2 linked regions of the Medicago truncatula genome follow. The protein of the gene in region 1 interacts with the protein of each later gene in a pairwise test. Links are inferred from orthologs where the notes say so. Each region holds a gene or a part of one and is shown in the gene's direction. Other genes may lie near its edges.

What was found. The genes of interacting proteins can lie anywhere in the genome.
Region 2: the proteins of transcription factor TCP9 (region 1) and transcription factor bHLH47 interact in binary tests that used the Arabidopsis thaliana proteins (3 or more experiments, as listed by UniProt). The link is inferred for Medicago truncatula from reciprocal best matches to the Arabidopsis thaliana genes TCP9 and PYE.

The regions. Positions count from the first base shown.
Region 1 is NC_053049.1:13,108,493-13,115,298, forward strand, and holds transcription factor TCP9, read left to right. Parts: upstream 1-4,716; 5' UTR 4,717-4,862; coding exon 4,863-5,864; 3' UTR 5,865-6,294; downstream 6,295-6,806. Other genes in the region: uncharacterized protein, read right to left, coding at 352-629, 738-1,050.
Region 2 is NC_053045.1:52,936,183-52,943,585, reverse strand, and holds transcription factor bHLH47, read left to right. Parts: upstream 1-4,672; 5' UTR 4,673-4,878; intron 4,879-5,170; 5' UTR 5,171-5,219; coding exon 5,220-5,266; intron 5,267-5,644; coding exon 5,645-5,763; intron 5,764-5,968; coding exon 5,969-6,096; intron 6,097-6,349; coding exon 6,350-6,730; 3' UTR 6,731-6,881; downstream 6,882-7,403.

The DNA.
Region 1 (6,806 bases):
ATTTATCACTTTTAAGCCTAGTCCCATCCAAAATTGTTCTTGTTCTTGTAATAATAATAGTAAAAGAAAAAAAAAACAAATTGGTTTTGAATTGGAGTTTGAGTTTATCCTATAGGCTATTGAAATAGTTATTCTATGTGTTGGTGATGATACAAATAATTTATTAATAATAATTTGTTTTAAAAAAGTTTAAGCCCCACATTACTCTTTTTTTTAACAAACTAAAATGAGATATATATTATGAACAATGGCGATTTACCGTGCACAAGACATGCAAAAGGTAAACCGATTAACCAAGATACAGTAGTAAGGTGCTATTTTAGAAGAGCACCATAAAAAAGTTACAGAAAATTACACAATAACACCCATGCAAGGAATTGGGTGTTTCCACCAGTCATAATAAGAATAAATAAAAGATGTATGCGATGCTTTCAGCCACATAAAAGAGTTCAGCTTCACTTTTTCAGCTAAAGAAGAAGGATCACAAACCGTTTCTTGGAACACATGGTTATTTCTTTCCTTCCAAATAGCCCAAACATAAGCGAACCAGATTACTTTCAGGAAATAATGAGTGGCTCTAGGCAATCCGACCAAATTAGAGAATTGTGTAAAATGCCGCCGAATATCACCTGGAAACACCACAAATAAGCCTAACCAATGCAAAATATGATCCCAATGCGTACTAAAAATATTACAGATGCAAAACAAGTGATTTGTGGTTTTATAAGCACCGCAACCTGACACACAAACCGAGTCTGCTATCAGAAGAACTCGCCGATGAACCAAGTTGTCTCTAGTAGGAAGTCTATTTCGGAAAAGGCGCCACACAAATACTGACACCTTAGTGGGTATGCTCTTATGCCAAACATCTTCAACCAGAGTCCTATTCCCAGCGTTACCATTATCAGTGAGAAAGCGATATGCTTCCCGTACCGTGTAACCACGGGAAGGATCTATCAACCAAATCCAAGAATCATGAACATTAACCTGCAAAATGACATTAGAAAGTAACATAGAACATTCCTTCACACTTTCCTCCTCCCACGCCATTAATCTTCGCCTCCACGCCCACCCCCCACCTCCAACCTCCCAACCTTCCCTACTCATATCCTCCACCGTACACTCCTTGCTCACAGACAAATAAAAAAGGCGGGGGAATTTACAACATAAAGGTGTATCCCCAACCAATTATCATACCAAAATAAAGTATTCCCCACATTACTTTTTAATAGAGATCTTAGAAGTCTGCTCACTTGAGATTGGGTTAAGGATAGTGATTTCAAGAAAAATTCTCCGATTGTTAAATCTTTTGATACAATGTGAGTAATTGGATGTGATAATTCTTGTCAATTTTAGTTTCATGAAAGATCACGAGTTTATATATAATTTTGAGAATCCAGTAAATGGTACGAGCATAAGAGGTGAAACATGTTTGAGTTAAGTACCACGAAATCTACCCCCTTGTGTAAGAAAAACAAGTTCAATTGTCTTATTTAACATTTTCCAAAACAAATACATCAGCTCATTCAATAGCAAGATGCGAGCTTAGTGTTAATCAAAGTTTGGACAAAATAGTGAAATTAGATAAACTCATAATTTTAAGTGAGTTCGCCTTTTTTTTCTCGCCCAATTTTTATTTTACTTTGAGCTCATAAGCTCATTCAAAAAAAAAAAAAAACTAAAATTGTTTATTTTTTGAAAAAAAAAAAACTAAAATTGTTGGTAATTTTAATATTTAATAATTACATCAAATTTGTTATTCTTCAAATTAAAATTGAAAAGGATCTTTTATATATTAGGTCAAATACCCAGTGATCATTTTAAGTTAGATGTTTGTAATAAGTTAATCTTTTAATTATTTTTTGTTAGAAATTATTTCTTTAATTATTTTCTTCTAACATATCAGTCATTTAAATCTTCACCAAAAAAAAAATATCAGTCATTTAAATCATAAAGTATTTTTATTGTTATCCATTTTCATCCAACTTTGTTAAAAATTGCTTATGATCCCATTTAACATTGAGATGACAATTCCAAAAGTGTTTACGAACCTACCACAAAGAATGGGTTTCATCTTATACCGAACATCTGAGCGGTGGATACCACATTGTTTTGAAAAATCAGTCACATGTTATGCTCCTTCAAATGATCCATATACACGTCAACCAAATATTTTGAAAATAATGACGAATTTCCTTATATTAAGATCAATATTTGCAGTTAATTATTCTTATAATCTTCATTAAGAATTATGTGGTTTTAAAAAATCAATGATTTTTCAACTAAAATATTCTTCAACATTTTGTTGAAAACCCAAAATCATAATTTGTTGAAGCAAACCTATCTGAAATATGAATCATTCACTATTTCTTTCACGTATCCTATGATGTATACTCTTCTACAAAGATACACACACATGCACACAAAACATGCTTTCGATACATTGACTATTGTGACTTTTCGATTTCAGATCTTTGTCAATGCTGTCTTTTTTCTATTATGTTTTGTTTTCTTTATTTTGTTTGATTTCTTTCCAATGAATATAAGTTGTAGTTTGTCATTAAACTTTCTTAGTCTAAAAGCACAACAATTTCCTTATCATTTTCTACATGATGTCATTTCTTATCTTAATCTCTTACGGCAAAGGGAATTCCCACATTGATGTATCTTTTGGGCTATCTTATAATTTCTTACTTTTTAATTTTGTTTTTTCATAATGATTTTCAGTTTTTCTGATATATTATATTCTACTGTTTTGGCTAAGTGTGTGATATTTCGTGTTCTATCATCAGTCTCGATGGACCATTTTTTGTTTTTTCTTTTTCTTTCCATTAAATATAGGGTTTTGTTAATTTATGTTCTTTCAGTACATGCTACGAAATTTAAATGTAATATTTTTATATCAAAAATAAAAATGTTTATACTTTAAAAAATTTAAGTGCACGATTTATGAGACAAAAGTATTATTCTCCTAAGATGGCAATATACTAGCAAATTTGTTAAGAACATCCTTTAACAAAACTCTCCTTAGATGTATGATCAATTAAATGCATTCAACCTTAGATGTATGGCCAATACTTTAATTTCTTGTAGGAAGTTCGTGTCAAAAAAACAATCTTGTAAGAAGTTGTATACGTGTCATTTCTTGATAAAAAAAGTATAAATTAGTATCTCACTCATTTAAAGCAAAAACCATTCATACATGGGACTATTTAATCAAAATAATTCAAAGTTGTTAGCTTGATAAAAAAAAGTATAAATTAGTATCTCACTCATGTAAAGCAAAAACTATTTATACAAAATAATTCAAAGTTGTTAGCTTGATAAATATAATATTATAAATTCTCTCAAAAAAAATATAATATAATAAATTAATATCTCACTCATGTAAAAGCAAAACTATTTATACATGGAAATGTTATTTATAAAAATAATTCAAAGTTGTTAGGTGAGATATTATTAATTCCTGGAATTGATCGGGTGGTAAAAATAACTTTGAACGGATGCATAATTCCTTTATCCTAAATTATTTCTATTAAAAGAACATTGTGAATTTTTTTTCAAAAATGTATTTTGACATTTGATACTATATTTTGATTTTCTCTTGTACATTATAGTGTAAGTAGTCATTTTCGTCTATAAATGTGTAACGAATAGTCACAATAATCTGTGTATCGAAGTTCTAAAATAGTTTTTGATTGTATATTCCGTCAGTTAAAACAGTCTCTGACCTAGAAATTATTTTTTTTGATGCTCATAGTAACTCTTTTCTTACAGAAATTGTATAACATAATGTAAATACCTATATGGATTGATACGACAATATTAGATTTAGCCGATCATTTTAATGTCAGAGATTATTTTGACTAACATATTGCACAGTCAGATAATATTTGGAAATTTCGACGAATTGAGAGACTATTGTAATATTCATTACACATTATGACTATTTACCCTACATTATATTTTGATATTATTTTATTTTGCTTTGCATATCAAATCATCTTAATTAATTGTTCGACGTAGAAGATATCCAATTCGAACTAAGACAAAAATCAAATCACTTTTTAATGGTGGTCGGGGTTCGAACCCCAAACCTTGACAAAAATCAAATCGCAAATAACTCTAAATGTATTCCATACGCTATGCAAAATCTGTTTTTTATGTAAAACTAACACTCCTCTTCTTTTTTTACTATACAAGTAGCATTATGTTTTTAACTCCATTGTGTCGCACAAAAACTATACCATATTGACTTTCACACATACAAGATCATAAAAAATGCATGAGATCATATAAGAAAAAAGATTTATCCAAATATAAAAAAAACCTATATACAAAAAATATTTACATAAAAAAGAATCATTTCCCTTATCCTTCAAATAGTTCATGCCATCATCAATTAATCATGCAAGAAAGAATCTTATCAAGTTCCATACTCTTTTTCTTCATTTTTTTTTCTTCTTTTCATCCTCTTCCTATCCTTCACTCTCTTTTTAACAATTGTTTTGTGTAGTTTGCCAAACAAGTGTATAACATTGACCAAAACCCTCCTAACATTAACCCCATAAGAATGGACCCATCACATGGATTAGTCCTTATCATAGTGGGTCCAATAGCGATCACCGTAGATTTCTTTCCATGTAATATCATATAAGACGGTATCATAAGGGTCCCATCCTTCTATATCACTGGTTACTACCTCCCTCTATGTCCTACATTTAATAACAACCCTTTCACTCTTCATTCAATCTCAACACTCTCTTTGTGCTATATATATTCACACACTTTCATTCTCGCATTCAAATTCTATACCAAATCTAAATCATCTTCCTTATCCATTACCTTCAATTTCTTCATTCATGGCTAAAGAAAATTCTACAAACATTGATCTCACTCTTGGAGAGCCGAAAGAAGAACCGGAAATAGAAGATGTATCGGCGATAAAAGTTATGCCGATGACCATGCACGTGCCACCGGGGATACCTATGTCCATGCAAGTGAACAAAGCCTTGGTTCAAGCCCAAGCCCAAGCTCAAGCTCAAACCCAGGCCCAAGCTCAAGCTCAAGCCCAACAAACAATTCAAAAGAGATCATCTACAAAAGACCGTCACACAAAAGTCGAGGGTCGAGGCCGAAGGATCCGAATGCCTGCCACATGTGCAGCTCGGATCTTTCAGCTGACCCGAGAACTCGGACATAAGTCCGATGGCGAAACAATACGCTGGCTCCTCGAACACGCGGAGCCAGCTATCATTGCCGCCACCGGTACCGGCACAGTCCCAGCCATCGCCATGTCAGTCAACGGAACACTAAAAATCCCCACCACTTCCCCAACCAAAAACCCTAACCAAGAACCAAACCAACAATCCGATGAATCACCTGAGAAAAAGAAACGTAAACGACCATCAAACAGTGCTTACGTAGATATAAACGACACCACTGTTTCTGTTTCATCCGGTTTAATAACAACCTCAAACATAAACACAAACACAAACCTAAACCTAATTCCTCAACAACCCACAATTCAGTTACCACAAAACATGGTTCCTGTTTGGGCTATACCATCAAACGCTGTTGTACCAAACGGAAACACTTTTTTCGTTGTTCCAACAAATCAACCACAGTTTTTTACATTGGCTAGACCAATAACCGGTTTTGTTTCTTCCATGGTTACACCAGTTATTCAAGTTCAACAAGCTTCATGTTCTTTATCTCCTTCAACAAAGTCTCCAGCTAGAGCCACCGTGATGGCTCCAAGCACGGCGGCAACAACCACTACTCAGATGTTAAGGGATTTTTCATTGGAGATTTATGATAGACAAGAGCTTCAGTTATTATCAAGGTCTTCTTCGAAGCATTGATAGAACCATAGAACCAGAGAACGTTGAATTTGGTTAACGATGTTGTTTGAAAAGAGAAGAGCACGTGGGCACGTGAGTGGGGAAGGGGAAATGGTGGGGTCCATGTATGTGTGGGTCAACTAGAAAAGTGGGGGGAATGTGGGGCCCAGTATTGGTGGTGCTGGCTTCTTGAACCGTGCAATGGGGGGTACTAGTAGTACTGTTATTATTCTACTCTACAGCTGCCAAAATTTAATTTTTGGATGTGTAATAAGAATATTATCAATTAAAATTAGAATAAAAATAACCGTTATTCATGGTTTTATAAAGGTTTTATTCTTGATTTTAAGTTAGTATCCCTTGAAGTTATGTAATTAGTGTACTACTTAAAATCAGTTACAAAAATGTTCTTTAAGAATGTATTAATACTATGTAATTTTTTTGGTGTAAATTAGATATCATTTGTGCATGCAACTGTGGAGACTAATTTTTTGAGTCTTGTAAAATTTAAATAGATGATTTTTTTTTGAAAATCTCCTCTAAATCAGTAGTATAGTTATTGAAATCATGAGCATCATCTTGTAGGTTCTAGATTAAGTAGTAGTTTCAGGTCCCATAGCTATTGTTCTTGATACCGGATTTTGCGCATTGCTTGAAATAAGTTTTTATAAGATCTTTATCAACCAAAAATTTTGACTTTCGATTTTTAACGTTGATGCATGGTCAAGACTCAATTCAAACTTAGAATTTAATTAAACTAAAAGAAACTCGTGATATATCATCTACGCGTTTTTAGGTTAATATCGATAATTTTATTAATTATTTTGTTGTACGTATCTCTATTTTATTTTTTGGTTTATTTATTGGTGAAAATGGATATGGGTCCACCTCTTATTGTGGTCATGTGAGGGTGGGTGAGGGACCCAAGGGAGGAATGGCCTAATGGGTGGACCCAAAACGGGA
Region 2 (7,403 bases), on another chromosome or scaffold:
AAAGGGATAGAATGAAGGCACTGTACACCTCAATTCCTAACATTGCCATGTTCGATAAGAGTTCTACGACCAGCTTTCACTCTATTGGAGGCACTGTACACCTAATGGTACAACTTTTTTTCTTTGGTGGATCATTCAGCTACGAGTATATATGAGCTTGTAGTCATTTTCATGGTCTAATTCTCAATGTAAATATTAATTGTTAAGATTTAATCACATGAAAAGAGTCTAACCCAAAAGACTAATTTGTTAGGTGAAGAGTATTGTGGCTTAAATACGACATTGAACGATTTTATCTATTTATTATAGGATTCGTATCAAACTATTGTTTCTTCCTTTTCTATCACATTTTTAACATGTGCGAACTGCGAAGCAGCTGAGATATGTGTAGGGATAATAAAGATAGAAAAAATGAAGGATCAATATTAGTTGGCTTTGAGTTTTAGTAAATTTGTAACTTTGTCTATGAGTGCTTTTGATTTTATATGTTGAAACACAAAAATGGTATTTTGGTATTTTTTATAATGTGTCCTCTCCAAAAGAAAAAGAAAAAGTTTTTCCATCGTTTAGTGAGGGATAAAAATTCTTGTTTTTGTCTAGTCCCTTGCTATCTATTTTGTTTAATGATTAGTTTCTAAATCAAACAAAGTACATAAAAGTTGTACAGTCCAGTCTTTTGATTTTTAAGAAGTCAAACGTGCCATATATGACTCTCTAAACTATTCATTTTCTCTAGTTTAAAAATTCATTTTGATCATTTATCTACTTACTAAATATATTAAGGTTACCAAAGTCACCAAATCGTAAAGGTAGCCAATCAATTTATAAAAAAAAAAACGGAGAGATGGTAAAGAGTGATATAATAAAAAACGAAGAAGGGTGAGTTTTGTTTTTTTGTCAAAAGAAGAAGAGAGAGATAGAATGAAATTAAGAAATGAGGTTTAAAGAAATTAAATTTTTATATTTGAAATGTGTGTACAGTACCCCTTTTTTTTTTTTTTGAAGGAATGTGTGTACAGTACCTGTTCTTAAATTAAGTTTGGGTCTAACAAAGAGGACGAGCCCAAACCGAAGAAACGAGACTTTATAAAAGGATAAAGGGTAGAGATATCGTAGACATGACACATTCTTAAATACTAGGTTATTCATTTGATTGGGGCAACCACTAGCCCTTGACGACAACGGTAACCTGGACTTGTGCTCTTGACAACAACACTTACAAATGAACCAACCATTGAAGGTCGCAAGTGTGTATTAAAAAGTTTGTTTAAAATATCCTTAGTTGAAAAGAAAATCAAATACAACAAGTTGATTATGCTATCAAATTTATTGAGAGTGTTGTATTAAATAACTTTAAATCTTTTATTATAGGTAAATGCTATTTTTTTCCTTCAAATAGGTAGATGTTAGTAATTAATTAATTGAGAATATGTCATTCTAGTAAAAAGTTATATTTTCATTTTAAAAAGAAATTAACTTTCATTCACAAATATACATCCTTAAAATTCACTTGTTTTCAAAAAAAAAAAATTGGACAACTTTTATTTTTTGCTAAGCCTGAAAAACTTTTATATCATTTTCCAAAAATGTTGCAGCATTTCAAATTCCTAACACCACAAAAATACGTTATAGAGTAAACGATGTCTTTAACTTATAAACTCATCTTCAGCCATTATCTTATCTAATATAATACCAATGATAAATAGAGACACCCATTAAAAGTAAAACCTCCAGTTTGCATATCATTATTGACTGGATACTGAATTTGTTAAATCTTTAACACAGGCACAATTGATAGTGTTTAAGGAATGGGCTTTATTTAGTGTTCAACCTTGATGTTTTTTAGGGTCCAAAAATTTGAAACAACGAATTTGCTTATAAACACGCCTTACCTTCTCTATGTACACTACTTTCATTCACTATTAATCTTGTCCTAACCCTTAAAAATATAGCTATAGACTACTTGTTTTTTTGAAAAAGAGTTATATAGACTACTAATACGGGAGGGGACTGTGTATTTCTATTAATCTTGTTATAACAGTACTTAAATATAGTTATAGACTACTTTTATTTTTAGAGTTATAGACTACTGATTGGGATGATGATTATTTGTGTTATTAAGGAAGCTGTACGTACTCTTCCTATATTATTAACCTAATTCACTAACATGTACTCCATCCGATTTCAATTATAAACAAAAGTTTACTTTTTCATTAAAAATTTGATGCAATGTAATACATTTTTGTGTTAATTTACTTTTTACATTTTCAGTTTTAAAACAACAAAACATAATGTATGTTTGGTTCAGTTATGACAAAACTTTATTTTGAATAAATTGATTTTATAAAATTGATTATGACTAAAAGTAAATTTAAGATAAAATTATTTAAATTTGGATACATTCAGGTAAAATCAATTTAAGGTAAACAACAAATTTTATAATCAAAAGCTTCAAATTAGAATGAATTTGGGAGACAAAATCAATTCAACTCTAGAAAAACCTAACATATCAAAAAATTAATTATATATCTCTAGAACCAGTTTTAATTCCTTCAAAAGTAGAATCAAACATGCACTTAAATTGTTTTGAGAAACAATTTTTAAAAAGAAGGCAACAAAACATGTTTATAATTTTCAAATTTTAAAAAATAGAAAATGGTTGCTGCAAGAATTTACTTCCTAATCGTATACTAGGTCCTTAAAATGTTTTGTACGGACATATTGTTGATGCAAGAATTTACTTGCAGATGCACCAGATAAGCAACTTGTTGCTGCAACTGCAAGAATCTGTGATGCACCCTTCAAATATTATTCTATGTTATGACACACATCCGCAAGCTTCAATATTGGAGCTGTGTAGGCCACTTTGTTCAGATTTGGACATGTCAGTGACAAATATACATCTAAAATATGAATCTGTTTTGAATATTCTAGTTAGTTTGCAATTACTTGACATCATCTTCCAATTTTAAAATGGATTTTGCTAATACTTACGTGAGCATTGGCATGTTTGAATGTAGTCAGAGGCAGTAATATATAGTTGTAAATTAGCTTTGCACAAGAGGAACTTACGATGACGTGGGTCATATCTCTTATTCCCGTGTTCTTATCCGTACGTAGACCGTGGTTGCCACACTCTTAACAAATATGGTAAAGCTTATATCATGCATTTGTGAGGAGTCCACACGCATTTCCCAGTTTTGTAGTATCTTGATTGACCAATCACCATGATTTTTTTTTATTTTATTTCAGGATTGATCAATTCAAACATGAACATCTCAACAAGACAACAAACCATTTTGAAACTATTATGTTGTTTGACGAAAGAAATGTAGTTAAAATGTATAAAACGGGGATAGAACCCCGGATGCAAACCTCAAAGGTGCGCTCTTTACCACTAGACGACATCATACATATGCAGGCACCGACCCAAGTGGAAGTTTATGTGTGCCATGACCCTCACGATGTTTTGATTTTTTTTTTAATTTATTACTTAATTCTCTCTAAATTTTATTAAGACCCCCACACATAAAAACCAATATACTAATATTTAATACATTAAAAGTCAGTTCTGTAAAAAAAATATACATTAAAAGTCGGTCTTCTTTCAAAAAAAAAAAATACATTAAAAGTAGATCTCTTGTCTATGTTATGAATATTATAAAAAATTATACGTTAAATCATACAAAAAATGAATGATTAAAGTATTGTTTGATTATTTTTATTCAAAGTGATATTTTCATTGACATCGAATATGAATAAATCGGTTAGTATTTATATAATATGAAAAACAACATAGAACAATTACGATGCATATTTATGTTTTAAAAATTAAAATATTATATATCGATCTGTCCCAAATTTACATATATATGTGGCCTAGACCACTCAAAATTTCAGGGTCATGTGACATAGATGTGCAAATATATATATAGACACATATATATACCCTCTATTTGATTAAAAATATGTATATATACCATTAAAAATGAAAGTTTTGAGATTTTTGGGAGGCCATGGCTTTCCTATATCCCCACATAGCTCTGCCCATGCTGTCAAGCATGTGTCCCATAGGTAACTTGTTCATGTTGTGAATTAATGGAAAATAACTTTAAATGGGAAAGTTAGTCTTCAAAATTTTAAAACTATGATAATTATTAATTTATTAACATTTGTATATATAAAAAATTAACAAGTATTCAGATATTATTTTGAAAAATTCAAAAATTAGGAAAGTATTAAAAAATTAATTTAGTTGATAAAAATAATAACAAAATTTTGATAATTATTTAATGTTTTTCAATCAACTCGTTATATTTATCCTTCAAATAAATCAACTCATTATATTAATATGATAAAAGATTATATTTATAATTAATCAATTAGAATGGTGGTAATCTCCTAAACTTATCTGAACTAATTCTTATACATAAAATATCACTAACAACCATTTAGACGACATCATCTAGTTTGTCTTATTTTTCTTTAAAAAAAGAAAGAAATTGATCCCTTGACCAAAAAAAAAGAAAAAAAAGAAAGAAATTGATCCAATAGAATTTCAATAAAATGGAAGGAAAAAAAAGGAAAAGACAAAGAACACGTGCTGAAGTGATTAGAGATAGATGATCGAAGCGAATGAACATGACTCTGCCACGCGCCTTCGTGTGACAGGTATCCTCCCGCCACACTCCTTTCTCATAAAATAACCAATCCTCTTTTCTCTCTCCTCTGCCCTAATTCTAATTTCAAATTAAATTAAAATCTCTTTCATTTTCATTTCTCGATTCCAAATCAAACTTCTTCATCCTTCAACCTTGATTCATACTTCAATCAACATATTCTAATTCCATTCCTTCTGATTATTCTTCCACGAACCAGGTTGGTGAGCCAAAAAAAATCACTTTTTTTTTTTTTATGATTAGATCGTTTTCTGTTTGATCCATTGAATTTCATGTTATGGAAATTAAAGTTAGGTACTTTGGCTTATTATAATCCTAAATTGATTGAATCTGGAAGCATGGGTTTTATTTACTTTGTCACTAGTAGTGAAAAATTAAAATGAAAATATTCAGATTTTTCATATTCCTTTTATTTCATTTATTGGGTCCTTGTTTTTTTTATCAGTATCGTTTAGGGTGTAAATTGAAGTAATTTTGTTTTTGTACTTTAGGAAAATTGTTGCTGAAGAATTGAAGACAGGGATAGCTGGTTTTGTTCATATGGGATCGGAGAGTGTTGCTCCTATGATTGAGCCATCAAATAACAGGTTAGAGATTCAGAAATTGTTTTTTTTGTTAATACAGTATATTGAACTTCCATTCTTTCACTGTTTTCCTTTGAAGAAGTTTTCTGAAATGATGTGATAAATTTGATTTATTTACTTGGTTTGGGTATGAATACTGAATATATAACTATCTATTTGTTTTCTTTGATTGAATTTTGAAGCTGTTAATAACTTCATCTGGCAGTAATTGTTACTACTACTTGTCGCAAAATCACGAATTTTAGATTTAGCCATAACTGCTTAGAAGTAGCAGTGATGGTAGTGACAGTGATAGTAGTAGTCATGATACCAATAGCATAGTTTTTGTGGAACAACATATTTGGTTTTGGACTCAATATGTGTACGCTTGATTGACCTCAGGTCTGATCCTGGTACAATGAAGCAAGGGAAAGTCCCTAAGAGAATTCACAAGGCCGAAAGGGAGAAAATGAAGCGTGAACATTTGAACGAACTCTTCCTTGATCTTGCCAATGCTCTTGGTAACTTCTTATGCCTCTGTTATTTTTCTTTAGTCGCATCACTATGTTCAAATTTTACTGTTTACCTGCTTGCTCCATTCGATATGACAGTTATGTTTTATATTTACTTTGTCTTGCTGTACCATATCTGATATGTTGCTCGAATTTGACTTTACGTGCATGTTCCCCCCCTTTTCTTTTGGTGTTTTGGTGGTGATGGGGATAGATCTCAGTGAGCCGAACAATGGAAAGGCTTCAATATTGATCGAAGCTTCTAGACTGCTAAAAGACTTGCTCTGTCAGATCCAGTCCCTCAAGAAAGAGAATGTCTCTTTATTGTCTGAATCTCATTATGTAAGATTGGCACTTTTTTCCCTCCTTTGATCCCATCATTTTACCCTGTTGAGAATACTGCATGTTGAATTTTGATGTTTATGTGGAAAAGCTTTTATTGTTTGCTAGTTTACTTGAAATCCATTCCGTTTGTGTTACAGCATTCTGGCCAGTTACTTACTTGAGCCGATTAGCAATACGTCACAATTTGATGTCACAAATCAACACACTATTTGACCTGCGTGTAATTCATGTGATTGGCTTAATTGGACAGGTGACCATGGAGAAAAATGAGCTAAAGGAGGAGAATAGTAGCCTAGAAACTCAAATTGAGAAGCTTCAAGGCGAGATACAGGCAAGAATAGCTCAATCTAAACCTGACTTGAATGCGCCTCCTCAATTAGAGCTTGAGTCACCAGAGCAGACAACTTTTTCAGGACAGAGTTTCCAATTGCCTACCGTAGATCCTACCTTGCAGCAAGGACCTACTGTTTTAGTCGTCCCCTTTCGTCCCGATCTTCAAGCTGCTTACCCAGCTCCTACTGAGATCACGCCAAACCCTCCACTTGTTATCAGTAAACCTCATGCCAGGTATCCCACACCAGCAGATTCATGGCCATCACAACTGCTTGGAGAGCAACCAACTTCTAGCTAAACATGTTAATTTGTAGAGTTCTAGTTTATGTATTGCTATAACCAGCCAATTACCTTATCTAATTGCAATGCTGGTCTGGAGCTGTGTATAAATTTTATATATTCAATGATCTTAGAAAATTTTACTCAATTCTATTGTGCCTTAGTTGTGAGTTGAGCTAGTTCGACTTCTTTTTATTTTTTTCTTTTCCATGAGCTGAGCTGAAAAGATGTAGCCTATGATCTTGGCAGTTGGTGAAGATCATATGGTTGAGATTTCAAGTTTCCAATTTGCCATAGTTAGGATGTGAGTCATCATTTGTTCTGGATCCAACTGATTGATTGGTTGCAGGAATTATTGACTGCAATGAAAAAAAGATCCTTGGTTTTGTGGAGATTATTTTATTGTGCTTTTCCTTGGGACCGTGTCTGATGATTGAGCCACAGAAATGAGTGGATTCGTCTATTCTAGTTCTGGGATGAAATCTTGTCTTGACACTTCTTTTTGGTAAGATTTTAAAGGGAAGTGACTGAACAATGAACATGGGAAAAAAGTCACCTTTAATTTCGTTTTTTCGTTTTCAACACATAGGGATAGAAGAAACTGGTCAACTTTTTATCTCTACTTTGGTAGAATGGATTCCGATTATGATTGAATGGGAAATGCATTATCTTGGCAAAATTTTTGTTGGAGT